Linked DNA regions of Mus musculus. The protein of the gene in region 1 purifies or fractionates together with the protein of each later gene. This does not show direct contact. Links are inferred from orthologs where the notes say so. Each region holds a gene or a part of one and is shown on either strand. Other genes may lie near its edges. The genes, in order: Smarca2 and Dpf2.

Region 1 (7,567 bases):
GGTTTTACTGTATAACAGAGCCCTGGCTGTCCTGGACTCACTTTGTAGACCAGACTGGTCTCAGAGACTTGCCTGCCTGCCTCCCGAGTGCAAGGACTAAAGGCACATGCCACGACACCCAGCCTCAACCATTCTTTTAGCTTCATTTCAGTGCCTTTGGTCTTCCTTTGAGTATCTTGGTGCCCATATTTGGATTCACCGTTTTGCCTCTGGGCTTTCATAAGAGTAAATGGTAGCCTGGTGAGTTGGCTCAGTGTTTAAAGCATTTCTCACACAAGGATGAGGACCAGTTCAGACTCCCAGTATCTGGGATGGGTTTGGGGTCCAGCCTATAATTCTAGAAGAGATCCTACCTTGACAGCTAATATAGTGATTAAGGAACATTCCTGCCATCTACATACATGACCACACACATATGAACACATACTATACACATGGGGAAAGGAAGCCAGTGACTAAGGAGGTGCACACAGCAGTTGTGGGTTTGCCAGACTCAGCATTTGGATTTTAACAGCTGACACTTTGGCCATTTAGATCTACGAAGACTCCATTGTCCTACAGTCAGTGTTTAAGAGTGCTCGGCAGAAAATTGCCAAAGAAGAAGAGAGTGAGGAAGAAAGCAATGAAGAAGAGGAAGAAGATGATGAAGAGGAGTCGGAGTCAGAGGGTAAGTCCCGTGCACCTGGCCCTTCCCACTCGAGGGGCTGTTTCCACAGACACTAAAGACTATATACTTGCCCCGCTTGCTTGTGTCCAGTTTTCTCTGCTGTTAAAATGAAGCACACCAGCCATGGAGCTCAGGACTGCCCATGTGGCCTTTGGATGTTAGGATAACACTCGTGTACACAGCACCTGTCACTCCGGGCAAAGCATTGTAGCATGGCTTGAGGAACATAGACTGTGAGGCTCCATCCCAGTGTTTCTGGGTCAGAGAGGTCCTGCCCTCTACGTGTTCCCACAGGGCACTGCTGGACCCAGGCCTTACTTAGACAGGCATCGATTTTCAAACTGATCTTAGTGCGCCTATTAATTTTGGTCTGCATAGAGACCTGATTTCACAAACATCATCTGGTTTATTGCTAATTAGTGTAGGTGAATTGGAAGGTGAAAGGTATAGTCCCATAATCTATACGATGTGAAGATGTGTGTTCCAGTTCTCTGATATTTTGTAGCATACATTTCTACACTTAACAGATCCAAAAACATTAACGAATGCTTCAAACTGTCTTAATTTCACTGTTCCAATCAGGCCGTTTCCTTACATTTCCCCAAAGAGATTGGAAGCCTCAGCTCACGTATTCTTTCTGCAGTGATCAAATCCCCCACCCCCACTGAAATAGATCCAGCCGGTCCTGAGATCTACAAACATTGCGGGGATTGGCTTATGTGGTAGACCCACCTTTTCGTGACTTATCCTCAAGTACGTGGAGTCATAGCCGTGGGCTGCCTATTCCAGAAGTTCCTGAGGTGGCATAGCACGTCACACTCTTCTGAGCAGGAGCAGAAATGGCTGCAGTCTTCCTGACAATGCAATTGACAGTGTTAGAATGTCCTGTGTGGCTGCTACCACTGTACCCCCACCAAAGTTTGCCAACATGGCTTCACAGTGGCTCTCTCTGTTGTAGCGCCCATCACTGGGGAACTGGTTAAATTGATTATAGAGTAGATGGTGTGTGGGAACTTTTTAGGGGTTGAAAGGAAGCTACGTGTGTGAGCTGATACATATGGCTATCTCCCTTGTGTAGGCAAGCCATGCACAGTGGGCATGCCTGAAGATTTATCTAACTAAATAAAGCTTCAGATATCTGTGCATGTATGTGTGTCTATATATATTTGAATTCTTTGTTGGCTAGAGTATAGACTATTTACAGGTATAAACTATGCTTTTTTTTTTCTGGAAATAATCAGTAGAGAGTCATGAAATGGGGTCAGGGAGGCATGTTGTCATTTTTGCTTGTCATTTTGTCTGTATACATTAAAAATGCTACTCAAATGACTTAAGTTTTTATTTTTTTATTTTATTTGTTTATTTACATCCTAAATGCCGTCCCCCTATCTGTCTCTCCCTCACTGAGTCCCTCCCCATCCTACTACTTGAATGTTTAAATTAAATAGTGCACACAGTGAAATCATCCTTTTTTTTTAAACAACCCTTTATAAGATTTAGTAATAATTAATGTAAATTTTTTTTATTTGATAACTGCTCTGCTCAGCCATCGGGAGCCAGGAAAAAGATCCACCCCCACCCGACACCGAGTTCCTCCTCCCCTGTGTCCCTCACCTTTCAAACAGGGACCAGCTTGCATGTAGAAGAGGTGGGCGCATGCTATCTAGACAAGCAGGGTGAAATGGCATGCCACTGAGGCTCTCCAGCACTGGGGGAAGTCGGACTTGCTATCCACAGGTGGGATAATAATAATTTGACTGAGTTCTCACTGGGGTCTCTCTTGTGACTGCTCTAGCGAAATCTGTGAAGGTGAAAATCAAGCTGAATAAAAAGGAAGAGAAAGGCCGGGACACAGGGAAGGGCAAGAAGCGGCCAAACCGAGGCAAAGCCAAACCCGTCGTGAGCGATTTTGACAGTGACGAGGAACAGGAAGAGAACGTGAGTGTACAGGCCGGGGCAGAGGCGGCTGCGTGCTCCAGGTCCCAGGCCCTCTTGGGGTACACAGTCCTCACTTAGGCCGAGCAGGAGGAGGAGGCCTGGGAAAGGGAGTCATGTTGAGTGAAATTTAGAACAAAGAATCTAAAGCTGCTCGTGTTGCTGTAGAAATGAAAAGCTCTCCATTGCAATTCCCCTTTTCAATCTTCCAGTACACGTACGTGCAAATGCAGTTTTCTTCATGGCTGGTTAATATTTTATATCTCTCATACCCAGCTTGCTGTGAGTATATAGCAGTTCAGATAAAATAATGGTTAGAGGGGGGAAAGGAAAGGCATTGTGGCGGCGGAGGTTTTAGCTGCGATGCCTGAGATTAAATACCCAGAGGCTTTATTCTTATCAGGAAAATTTTAGGAAGTATTTTATCAAACCAGCACCTTCCAATCTGAGGAATAGTTAACGTTTATATTAGCATCGTCTCATAGATATCACTTTGGGTCCAGGGTACTCTGAGGGTTCCGAGGGAGTGAATGGTAGGGTCTGAATCCAGACGCCAGGAGCTTCCTCAGTCTAACACTGTTGACTCTGCCGGTCTTGGGGAACAACAGACAGAAACTTGGCCAGTCCCACAGCAGCTCAGCTTCCCCAACATGACAACCCCTACACAGCTCTCATTCTGGAAAGACAGTTTTCCATCTTGGTACATAAGTGAATTTGATTTTCCTTTAACACTTTGCTACTCCGGCAGGATCGGGAAGTTCTAGAACCTGGCTTACTAGATTTCGGTTACATTTGAAACACCATGTTTCCTTGAGATGACTTACCAATGAGCAGACATCCAAAGCATGATCTTATTCTTGTCATGGGACAGGTTTCCCAAGCTCAGACAAAGGTAGAACTGGTTAGCGAAAGTTAGACTTCTCTTCTGAAGAGACGTCGCCAGTGGCAAACAGCAGATGCAGCTGGCAGGCATCGCCTTGGGTTTGCTAATGCAGCACTCGCCATGGGGGCATAGAGGGTACCCATTCCTCTAGAGTCTGTCTTTCCACAGAAAGGGCTGTAGTGCGCTCAGTCTGTCTACCTCTTTCTTTTAGGAACAGTCAGAAGCAAGTGGAACTGATAACGAGTGACCATCCTGGACGTGAGCTTCCCGCGGTGGCAGAACCGAATGCTTTCTTCCCCCTCTCCTTCCTCCCCAGTGAGTTCACTTGCCATTCGGGCACACTGGGTTATTTCTCCGTCCTCATTGTCATCTAGAACTAGCTTTAGGGTAGTGCCAGACAAACATATGATATCATGGTGTAAAAAAAGAAACACATGCGTGCAGACACACTACACACACACACACACACACACACACACACACACACACATATTTGTAACATATTGTGACCAAATGGGCCTCAAAGATTCAAAGATTAAAAACAAAAAGCTTTTGATGGAAAAGATGTGGGTGGATAGTATATTTCTACAGGTGGGTCAGGTTTGGTAGCAGTTTGATGTGCTGGGTTCTGTCATCTGTTCTGATGAGAAGATTTTTATCTTCTGCAGTGCTGATGGCCGGGAGGAACCATTCAAAGCCACTGGTTATTTTGTTTTTCATCAGGCGATTTTCAAGATTTTCATTTGTTTCAGTATTGTTGGTTTTCTCTTTTCTCTTTTTTACACTGTGGTACATATAAGCAACTTGACTAGTGACAAATGTACAGTAGTTAGATATCACCTACATATACATTTTTCCATTTTATGCTCTATGATCTGAAGAACAAAAAAAAAAGCTTTTTGACTTGTATAAGATTTATGTCTACTGTAAACATTGCGGAATTTTTTTTTGTTCTTGTTTTATTGACAATGCTATTGAGTATTACAGTGTCTAGAATACCCTGGATGGCTTCTCTTGTCCACCCGATCTCCCGTGTTACCAATGTGTATGGTCTCCTTCTCCCGAAAGTGTACTTAATCTTTGCTTTCTTTGCACAATGTCTTTGGTTGCAAGTCATAAGCCTGAGGCAAATAAAATTCCAGTAATTTCCAAGAATGTGGTGTTGGTACTTTCCTAATAAACCGATAACGTACCTTGACTCTGTCGCCTTTTCTTTTATGAGCGCTAGGGCACTAAACCTCTGGGTGTGAGCAAGAGCTATCTGCAGATAGAGAAGAGCCTTGTCATACAGATCATATGGGGGAGGGGCGAGATCATTGCTTTTCTGGCTAAAAGAGAGGCTGCTGCCAGTCAACCTTTGCCTCCTGGCTTTAAATTTCATTCATTAGTCAGAAAAATCTATAAAGGTAGGTAATGTGGAGACTGGCTCAGTCACTACCCATATGCCCTTCCCACTAAGATTTAACAAAATTTTTTGCAGTGTGCCTTGTTTTAATAAGCCATGAGGATATAAGTCACAAGAGCAGGCACCCACAGTCCCACTGTCAAGCAGAAGGGATTAACACCCTTCCTCTAATAGTTAGTAGACCAGTCGCTAGCATATCTGCCAGTTGCCCTAAATTTGTGTTTGGGTTTTCAATCATATGTCTTGATGTCTTTTTAAAGTCCTTAAAAAGCCAGCCCCGAGACTGGTGCATCCTTCCCAAGGAACTGCCAGCAAAGTCAAATGGAAGTTTTCCACGCCACTAAGGAGGGTTAACATTTTCCTAAGGAGCAGGTAAGATTGCGCTAGGTGAGCTTTCCAGTGCCATATCAGACCACAGTCCTACGAAGCTTCATCTTCCCGTCATGTCTGCTCTGACTTCCCAGCTACTCGGAGCATTCCGGAATATTATATTTCTTTTTTGGGGGTTTGCTTATGGGATTTACTTACTGCGGTAGGAATGGAGACTTCAGAGAGAAGCCATATTAACTTTCCACTCTGAGACCACTTAATATCAGTTCAAAGAAAACAGCGCCTCCCCCCTTTGCTTTCATTTCTGTATTTTCTGTGCTGTTCTTGGCTTTGGAGGCCCTGCAGTTGGAAGGTGAGCCAAACCATTGTTTTTCTGGTCCAAGCCTTCTCTGCCTGGTGTGTGTGCTCCCTCTTCCTCCTGCTGCATTTGCTGAACTGTTCTCCCTGCCCGGTACAGGACGTATCCCATTGTCCACCGTCTCTATGCCGTATATGCTACCCACCCGCTAGTCATCCCATCAACTCATAGTACTGCTGTGCTTCTTCAGTTAACAAGATCAACAGTACCCTAAGTCCACATCGTTCGCCACTTGAGCTTTTTTTTGTACGCACTGCATCATCTCATGATCCCTGAAAGGGTCAGTATAATATGGTATTGATATGTGAGAGTTGGGGAGAGGGAGAGAGAGGGGGGGAGGGAAACAACAAATGCTTGAGATAATGAACTCACAAAGGCTTTGTCAGCTCACACTTTTGGAGCTTTCAGGCCACAATCAGTTCACTCTATTCTGGCGAAGGCTCCACAGGACAATGAAATGCCTGAGACCAAGAGAGAGGGACCAGGGCCCCACAGTTCCCTACAGAATTATGCCACCAGTGATCACAAGATCTCATGCCAGGGCCCACTTGCTCAAGCTATGGCTACCCCCCACCCCTCCAAAGCACCTCCTGGAGAAATGTAAGCCTTTAAGACATAAGCCTTTGGGGGACATTCAAGATCCAAACTACGTCAAAATAATGTCCAAACTGTACTGTTTCCTACTAGTTAAGCCTTTCTCTGCCTGCTTTATAAATTGGACTTCATATATATTTCATGGATATTTTATAGCAAGATCAGTACTGTTGGTGGTTCCAGAGGGGATCTTAGGATGTGTCCCTGTGGGAAAGGAGGGCTACCAAATAGCTTTGTCAAGCAAGCTCTCCAGGTATACATTGTGTAGAAGATATCGCTAAGCACTTCACCCATGCAAACAGTGGTGTTACCCTTCCACCATCAGGTCCTGGGGGCATTGCCACACCTTGCTCTCTTAGCTAAGTCCCCCAGAGAGTTGGTTTCAGTGTCCCTAGCTTGGCACACACCTGGACTGTCTTAGCCTGAGCTCAGAGCATGGGCTTCGTGGCCTCAAATGAGGTCATTTTCATAGGTCTGCCTTTTAGGGTGAAATATGCTGGTGTCATCAAAGTGTGCCAGATATGGCCACATTTCCTTCAACAGCACAATGCTTTGGGGGAAATGCTGTCACATGATGTGTTGCTCTATGAATAATAGATTATTCTTATGAAAACAGATGGCAACAACCTTTGTCAGCTTCTTCTATGGGGCCACTGTTGTATCTGGAAGATCATTGGGCGATGTGTGCACTGTAGCAGGCATGCCTGGGAAGGCTATTAAGGCCTCTGTTTTAAAGGTACTTCTTCTTTAAGATTTTTTGGTTTTGTTTGTTTGTTTGTTTGTTTTAGTTCAGAAACTGAGGTCATAACCCTGACTTAGACTCAAATGTGTGGGTTGTTCCTGGCTTTGCCCCAGCCATACATGAGTTTCAATATCCTCTGCAAAATATGGAGTGAGTTGTCTATAAGTCCAGGGTTATAGTTCATATACAGCTTTGTTATTAAAGGTTTCCACTATTTAGGGAAAAATAACTTATAAATGGCATTAAGGAATACCAGAAAGATTCATAGAACTAAGAGGTGGTTTATAAAGCAGTGGCTCTCTGCCTTCTTAATGCTGGCCCTTTAAAACAGTTCCTCATATTGAACTGACCTCCCCCTCCCAATCATACAATTATTTCATTGCTACTTCACAACTGTAATTTTTTCTGTTGTGAATTGTAATGTAAATATCGGATATGCAGGATATCTGATATGTGACCCTTAAAGGGGTCGCATCCCACCAGTTGAGAATCACTGTCAGAAAAGCTCATCGGGCCACCCCTCAAAGGGGTCGAGTTCCACAGGTTGAGAACCACTCTCAAAAGCTCATCAAGCATTGATGGTTTCAAAATCAATGTTTCAGTGTTGTTCCCTGGACCCACAAAATCAGCATCACTTGGGCACACGGGACGCA
Region 2 (8,333 bases), about 21 Mb from region 1:
GAGTTCCAGGACAGCTGGGGCTATACAGAGAAACCCTGTCTCGAAAAACAAACAAACAAACAAACAAACAGCTCAGTTGGCCGACATTTTCCTATAATCCCAAAACTATGAGTACAGCACTGTGCCTTCTAGCTGCCAGTCTAACTCAGGGTTCAGTGAGAGCCTCCAAGGCAATACGCAGAGTGTGATAGAGCAGGACACCCAATGTCCTTCTCCAACATGTGTACCCACATGTGTTCATGGACCATACAGACATACACTACATACACATGCACCAGATGAACCAAGTGAGGGGCTCCCTTCCCAAGCAGGGCCCTGGGCTGTGTGACAAGGCTTGCTGAGCACAGCTTTCCCACACACAGCTCTGAGTTAGAGCTTGCAGACTGTGCTTTCGTCCCTCCCGGAGCTTGCTGGCTTAGTGAAAACAGGTAAGTAAAGCTGTATTCCAGGGCCGGCTGAACAGATCGTCTCGGTTCCTGGAGAACGGAAGTGGCTGGGTTTGACTTGGCCCCACATGGTGTAGGTTCAGCTTCAGCCCTTCTCAGTTAGCTTCGTCTTGGCTTGTTGCAGACACTGACCAGACTCTGAAGAAAGAGGGGCTTATCTCTCAGGATGGCAGCAGTTTAGAGGCTCTGTTGCGTACTGATCCCCTGGAGAAACGGGGTGCCCCAGATCCCCGAGTTGACGATGACAGCCTGGGCGAGTTTCCTGTTAGCAACAGTCGAGCACGGAAGGTCTGTTATTGCCATGGCTAGAGGACTTTAATAGGACCAGCCTCTTCTTTGTGGGTTGGGAGGTTTGTCCAGTTAGAATTGAAGCAGAACATGGTAGGACACATGCTTGTTGATGTGTATGTAAGCCCTAGCACAAAAACCAAAAACAGCTGGAATGGAAGCTGAAGTTGCCCTGCAGTCCTGTGCTCTGCTGGCCACCAGCCCTGACTGCCTAGCCTTCTACACTCCTCTTCCCAGTACAGGCTCACCCACGCTCTCTCTCACAAGGTTTTGTTAGAGACTTAGATACCTGGAGTTACGTAGGTGAAGCACAGTTGGTTCACACCTGTCAACTGGGAAGTTATGCTAAGTTTAAAGATGAGAATAGCTACAGATAAGCCAGATACTGTGCTAAGTATTTTTCCGTATGCTTCCTCTTGTATAGCCTTGTGAGGTAGGTCCTGTGGTTCCCATTTCATGGACAAGGAGGCAGAAGCAAAACAGTTAAAAACTTCCTCAAGGTCAAGTAAGCAGCAAAACTCATTGAAAGTAGGACATGAAAGTTGGAAGCAGAGCAGGCAGGACAGGATGTGGCTGCCTGGGGTACCAGAGAGCTTTATGGAAACTGTTTGGGCTCTGAGAGATGGGGGACAGGCATTCTAGATTAAGGGAGCAACTTGAAGAGGCACAGTGGAAAGCAAGCATTCACGGAAGCAGGACTGGGGTGCAGGGTGAGGAACGGTTCTGGGTAAGGCTAAGCCCCACAGGAGCTTCTGGGTGGTTCCAAGTGGCTAATTCTCTATCATGAGGGCGCTTTGGGATGTGTTTGAGTTCCGCTCATTCACATGTTGTGCTCCACTCAGCGGATCATTGAACCCGATGACTTCCTTGATGACCTTGATGATGAGGACTATGAAGAAGATACGCCAAAGCGTCGGGGGAAGGGGAAGTCCAAGGTGAGAAGCTAACGTGCTCCTAAGAAGGAGGCCGGCCGGTCTTCAGAGACCAGCCTTTAGTTTTGCTTTCTGCCTTGCTCTTCTAGCCAAGGCACGTTGGTGAGGGCATCGTCATCGTTTTGGTTTTCTTGGCAGAGTAAGGGTGTGAGCAGTGCCCGGAAGAAGCTGGATGCTTCCATCCTGGAGGACCGGGATAAGCCCTATGCCTGTGACAGTGAGTGCCACCTGAGGGATGGGTAGTTCTCGCTTGGACCCAGCTCCTGCTCTGGATGTGAGAGGAGGGCGGGCCATGGTCTTGCACTGAATGGTAAAACAAGCCTGGGTTTTTGTCCTGCCTGCCAACCTGGCCTTTGCTTAACAGTGGGTGGGACCTGCATGCTCTGGGGCGAGGTTTCTATGGGTCCTGGGATGGGAGGATGAGGGAACTCAAAGCAGACAGGGTTGGCCTCACAGTGGGCAGCATCCAGATCTGCTGCCCCATCAAGGCAGGGCACAGGGAGCCAGCCCTGAGGGTTAGTGTCTGTCCTCTGTCCCTTTGCTTTGGCTTACCCTACTTCTGTGCCTCCAGCCTGAAGTGCCACTGCTGGGGTCCTCTCTCACTCGCTCTGTTTTCCTGCTGCTGCCGCCCTGTCTCAAATGTATCAAGGCCTTCTTCTCATGACTTTTCTTTCTGTCTTTCAGATAGTTTCAAACAAAAGCATACCTCGAAAGCGCCCCAGAGAGGTAGCTCTCTCAACTTTTCAGACTTGTGTTTTCCTGTCCCTTTTCCCTCTTCCCCTGTTCCTCCTGCCTTTCTCATTTCCTGTGATACTGGCTTTGGAATCTCTGCAACGGTATGAGGGTAGTGCTGTGGAACCCCAGGTGTGCTCCGTTCTCAGTCCTAGCAGCTGTCTTTACCATTGCTTATCTCCCACAGACTTACTCCTATGGTCACTTGGCCTAGTATTAACAGAACCCCTTATGGATAGATGTCATCTGATGTTCCCCAACCAGACAGCAGGTGGTCAGCTCATGCTTCCACCGTCATGCCGCCACCTCCTCCCATCCTCCCATTCCTTCCTGCTGGCCCCCTTACCCCTCTTGGTGTCATTGCTCAAGATAAAATGCCATGTAATCTTTCCTTGCTGGTTGGCAGGGGCTGGGCAGGGCACTAGTGTGGGGATGTATTTCAGTTTCTTTGGGGAAGTTATCCTGGCTGGCAGTTAGTAAGTGTTCACCAAGAAACCCACCCTCAGCCTTTCATCTGTTTAGTTGGGATTGGTACACACAGGGTGGCATGAACCTGCCACATTTACATGGCAGAAAAAGAGGCTGACATCTCTTTGTTACGTTTCCCCTTTTGCCATAGGCCAGACTGTAGAACTTTACAGACCTGGAGCTCCCAGACGGTTACTACTTCTGGGGCAAGTTGATGCAGCATGGGTTAAGTCCTTCTAAAAGCCAGCATAGAAAAATGTCGGTAGCTATTGTGTTTTAGAGAGGGAAGAGAATCCAAGAAACTAAAGAGGTCCAGAGACTGATGCTCTTGGCTGAGGGGAAGGGGCCATCACTAAAGCTTGTCCCAGAGTAGAGATACTGGGGGCAGAGATGTCCCATGGGCCTCATTTGGAGCTTCAGAGCTTGTCAGAGTGGAGAAGTAGCACCTTTGTGTCCTAATAGTTCTCTGCAATCTTTCTCCCGCCCAGTTTGTGGAAAACGTTACAAGAACCGACCTGGCCTCAGTTACCACTATGCCCACTCCCACCTGGCTGAAGAGGAAGGAGAGGACAAAGAAGACTCCCGACCCCCCACTCCTGTGTCCCAGAGGTCTGAGGAGCAGAAATGTAAGCTGAGCTGTCAGGGCAGGCACGCAGGAGAGGAAGCAGCCTGTTTATAAAAGCCTTCATAGAGTTCATAGAGAGAGTGGAGGATATCCCAGGGTTCCCTTGAGAATCATCAGAATTTTTTTCTTTTTCCCTATAGCCAAGAAAGGACCTGATGGATTGGCCCTGCCTAACAACTACTGTGACTTCTGCCTAGGAGACTCAAAAATCAACAAGAAGACAGGGCAGCCCGAGGAGCTAGTGTCCTGTTCCGACTGTGGCCGCTCAGGTACCTCCATCCTCAAAGAGCAGACTGTACTCCGTGCCCAGGAACCTCCTGGGCTGCTTCCTTGAGTGCTGTTATAATCAGGCAACCTCCCTTACCCACTCCCCACCCTGGTTTCCAACCACTTACTTGACTCCCCTCCTCCACAGGGCATCCGTCCTGCCTGCAGTTCACCCCTGTGATGATGGCGGCCGTGAAGACCTACCGCTGGCAGTGCATCGAATGCAAGTGCTGCAACCTCTGCGGCACGTCGGAGAACGATGTGAGTGTCGCTGAGCCTGCCTGGCTCCGTCAGAAGGCACCTGCTCCTCCCTAACTCCCTCCTGGGAACTTTATACTTGTTTTAAAATATCTGTTTCTTGGGCACCAACAGTCAGACAGTGTTCTTAGCTCTCGGGTCAATAAATAAGACAGAGAAGTTAGTGCTTTGATAGAATTTGTGTACTTGGGGAAACAGAGTTTTGTATGATACACCTTGAAGAAAATGAAACTAGTCATGTGCCAAAGAGTTAACTGGATGCTGATAGAGGTTTGTAGCTGTATTTGCTTCTGGAGGAAGTGAGGTTGCTGTTGGAGTTTGGATAATACAAGGAGCCAGTCCCAGAAAGTATGGCTAGTGCAGAGGCCTTAAGGTGGGCCAGCTGGCTGTAATGAGGCCATTGTTATCCACTAGATCTTTCCTGTGGTGGGAAGGTGAACAGAGGCAGGGCTCGGCGGGACTTTGTAGGATCTTGGGACCATTTGAGCTCAGTGAGGAGTCCTGGACCTGGTGCACATTAAGCACCTAAGCTCTGCCCTATGCTTAGACCTTGAGGATGTTATCTGAGGCTCTTTATTAAGGGGGTTATATGCTCTGTCTCATCTTTTCAAAAGGTAACTGGCAGCTCTGTGGAGAAAAGATTGTAGGGAAATAGTAGGCTTTGTGATCTGTTAGAGTCCAGATAGACTGTGATGGACAGACTGACAATCGACCTTTGCTGCTACTAGTCCCTCTTGGAAGCAGCAGCAGTGTCGTAACTTAGGCACATAAACCATTGCACCTTTGTTCGTTCTCCTTACTTCTGCAGGACCAGCTACTTTTCTGTGATGACTGTGACCGTGGCTACCACATGTACTGTCTCACTCCTTCCATGTCTGAGCCTCCTGAAGGTAAGTGGCCTGGATCTACTCAAAATACTTTATCCCAGAAAGATCCACAGCACTCAAGTAAAATATCGATACTGAAATTTGTGACTTATCATAGACCTGTAATTGTATGGGTTTCAGCATTCTATGTCTAACAGCATAGATTTCATAATAGAATGACATGTGGTAGATTAAAGCAAACATTTAATGAGTCTGGAGAAGTGGCTCAGCAGTTAAGAGCACTGAATGATCCTCCAGAGAGCCTTGGTTCAGTTTCTGTCACCTGTTGGCCATTCACCATGGTCTGTAATTCCAGTTGCACAGTCTCCTTCTCTGGCCTCTGCAGATACCAGGCATGTACCTGTGCACAGATCTTTTCTATCTTAGTACTACAAAGGGCTTATTTTCTTTCTTTTGCTTTTTGTAGTACTAGAGATAGAACCCAGAATCCTGTACATGCTGGCCAAATGTCCCACTGCTGAGCTATCTCCCTATATCCCTAACTCTTGCCATTTTTATTTATTTATTGATTGATTGATTTATTATATGTAAGTTCACTGTAGCTGTCTTCAGACACCACAGAAGAGGGCATCAGATCTCATTATGGATGGTTGTGAGCCACCATGTGGTTGCTGGGATTTGAACTCAGGACCTTTGGAACAGCAGTCGGGTGCTCTAACCGCTGAGCCATCTCACCAGCCCTCTTGCCATTTTTTTATTCAGAGTGCTGTACAGTTGATCCATAGCACTTGTGTAGAAGTCAAGTCTCCATTCACTGTGGGCTCTGGAGAGGATCAGGTCATCAGGCTTCGAGCCGTCTCTCCATCCCACACTTGTACTTTTTGTTTTGAGACAGGGTCTCACTAAGTTGCATAAGGTAGCCTGAGCTAGCTTGGTAGCCCAGGTAGCCAGCCCTTGAACTTGAAATCCTCCTGTCTCCGTCTCTAGAACAGTTGGGTTAGACTTGATGCAATCATATGTCTTTGGAGAGATAAGCTATTTCCTCTGGAGTATTCTCCAAACCACATACATAAAATTATGCTTGTATATTCTATATTAAGATTTAGCCAGGTGGTGGTAGTGTGCCTTTAATCACAGCACTCAGGAGGTATAGGCAGGTGGATTTCGGAGTTCAAGGCCAGCCTGGAATATAGAGCTAGTTCCAGGATAGCCAGGGCTACATAAAGAAACCTTGTTCGCAACCCCCTATCCTCAAAATAAGTAGTTTTACTTCTCAAGAAAACGGATCAAACTGAAATAAATACCAATAATGTTTTAGCAAGCTATTTTTCTTGCACAGAACAATTATTTTCTGTTTATCAGTTTTCTTTTTCTTTATTTTTATTTTTTATTTATTTTTGTTGTTGTTGTTTGTTTAGTTTTTTAGGCAGGGTAATTACTCAAAAGAGATCTACCTCTGTTCCCTAAGAGCTGCAGTCATAGGTGTGCACCACTGTGCCTGGTTATTTCCTGTTTCTCTATGAAATTAGGCTTGGGTGATAAGGGGTGCTTGGGGGATACACAAGTTCACTTCTTTCTCTGTTTTCTGCTGAAACACCCAGAGATGTTGGCACCCCAGTTCACTTGCAGTGAAAGGCGAGTCTCTGAGTTCAAGGCCAGCATGGTCTACAGAGTGAGTTTCAGGACAGCCAAGACTAAGCAGAAAAACTGTCTTGGAGATAAAATATAGTAGTTTCTCTGAAGTCTCTTTTCATGACCTTTTTTCAACCTTTGAGGCAATGACTTTTTTTGTCCAAAATTGGGAGCATTTTAACAATCTTTGACTAGGCTGGCAAGATGGCTCAGCAGGTAAAGCACTTGCAACCAAGCCTGGACAATCTGAGTTTAGACTCCACAAGTTGTCTTTCACCTGCATGCTGTGGCAAATGCCCCCAAATAAATAAATTTAATAAGTTATCAAAAAAAAAAAAAAAAAAAAAGGGGCTGGTGAGATGGCTCAGCAGGTAAGAGCACCCGACTGCTCTTCCGAAGGTCCAGAGTTCAAATCCCAGCAACCACATGGTGGCTCACAACCATCCGTAACAAGACCTGACTCCCTCTTCTGGTGTGTCTGAAGATAGCTACAGTGTACTTATATATAATAATAAATAAAAAATCTTAAAAAAAAAAAAAAAAAAAAAAAAACCCAAAACACTTGTGTCTGCTCAGATTGTCCTGTGAGCCCATGGGCCACTGAAGTGACAAGAGGGTCTGGCATTGTTTGGGGACTGTCCTTGCACTCAGTGTGCTCATAGAGAATGGTTTTCATGTGTATTTTTAGTGTATGTTAAGAGTATTTTGTCTACATGTATGTCAGTCTACTGCATGAGTAGCTGATGCCTTTGGGGGTCAGAGGAGGGATCATCAGGTCCCTGTAGATGGAGTTGTGGGTGGCTGTGAACCACCAAGTGGGTGCTGGGAACCGAACCACATCTTCTTTGACTGCTGAGCCATCTCTGGTTCGAATTTTCATGGTTTTGAAGACTAAGCAGTTCCCTCAGCTCAGGAGAACAATGAAGTTGCTGCTGCAGAACTCCCCCTGTCCTACCTGGAGTGAGGTCTGAGGAGGATTCTGTGGGATCTACCCTGACCCCTCTGCTTCTCTGTAGGAAGTTGGAGTTGCCACCTGTGTCTGGATCTGCTGAAGGAGAAAGCATCCATCTACCAGAACCAGAACTCCTCCTGATGTGCCACCCAGCTCCCCTGCATCTAAGGCCGTTGCTCTCCTCTCTACCTTGGTTTCCATTGCCCCTCTCTCCTCTTTCACTCTGTAGTCCTGCCAACCTCCGTTGGCAACAGCACAGGGAGGTGGCAGCTCTGACTGCCTCTAGCCCCGAGCCCTCAGGGAGTAAGGAGCAGCGTGCTGCTCCAGGGCTGACCTGTGGGTCCAACTTCTCTCTGCTCTCCAAGAAGTGCATTCACTCTGCCTGCCTTGGGCCTAAGACCCTGGTGATTACAGGGCTCAAATGGGGTCCTCTGAGAAGGAATATGAGAGCAGCTCACTTGTCTCAAGCCTTGCCCACCCCTCTTCCCCCAAACCCCCTTTGGTTTCCAGGGTTTTGCCCCAGAGATGAGCCAGGCTGGGCCTTTCCTGGAAGCAGCTGGAGTGAGCTGGCTGAGTGGCACTTGCCAGGACCTTTTCATACCCTAGTTCTGCTTCCCTTTGCCTCCTGCCAAAGCAGTCCCCTGTCCTCTGTCATGCTACATGGGGTTCTGTGCTTGAGCTAGAATGTTCTCGGGCACCTCCTGGCTCTGCCCTGTCCCACAAAGGGACGAGCAGCTTCAAACCTGTCCTCCCTGTGCTTGGTGGCTTGCTCACAGGTGCGCTCTGGCTACCCAGACATTTCCTATCCTCAGAACTTCCCATCTTCTGCCCCCATCCTTAGTCCCTTTGCTTTTGTAGGGAGAGGGATAGTGTCAGGGGCTGGGCCAGCAGCTTGGGGGCCACAGG

Evidence for each region.
Region 2: the proteins of Smarca2 (region 1) and Dpf2 purify together in Homo sapiens (affinity purification with mass spectrometry; 6 studies listed by BioGRID and IntAct, counting the BioPlex papers as one, with this or other methods). This does not show direct contact. The link is inferred for Mus musculus from reciprocal best matches to the Homo sapiens genes SMARCA2 and DPF2.

What each region holds. Positions count from the first base shown.
Region 1 is NC_000085.6:26,773,639-26,781,205, forward strand, and holds the end of Smarca2 (probable global transcription activator SNF2L2), read left to right. Parts: intron 1-534; coding exon 535-667; intron 668-1,399; exon of another isoform or gene 1,400-1,517; intron 1,518-2,281; exon of another isoform or gene 2,282-2,462; coding exon 2,463-2,605; intron 2,606-3,696; coding exon 3,697-3,732; 3' UTR 3,733-4,683; downstream 4,684-7,567. UniProt on the Homo sapiens protein: ATPase involved in transcriptional activation and repression of select genes by chromatin remodeling (alteration of DNA-nucleosome topology).
Region 2 is NC_000085.6:5,897,790-5,906,122, reverse strand, and holds part of Dpf2 (zinc finger protein ubi-d4), read left to right. Parts: intron 1-570; coding exon 571-734; intron 735-1,576; coding exon 1,577-1,669; intron 1,670-1,804; coding exon 1,805-1,883; intron 1,884-2,350; coding exon of another isoform or gene 2,351-2,392; intron 2,393-3,354; coding exon 3,355-3,492; intron 3,493-3,631; coding exon 3,632-3,760; intron 3,761-3,906; coding exon 3,907-4,019; intron 4,020-4,824; coding exon 4,825-4,906; intron 4,907-7,491; coding exon 7,492-7,568; 3' UTR 7,569-8,333. UniProt on the Homo sapiens protein: Plays an active role in transcriptional regulation by binding modified histones H3 and H4. Is a negative regulator of myeloid differentiation of hematopoietic progenitor cells. Might also have a role in the development and maturation of lymphoid cells.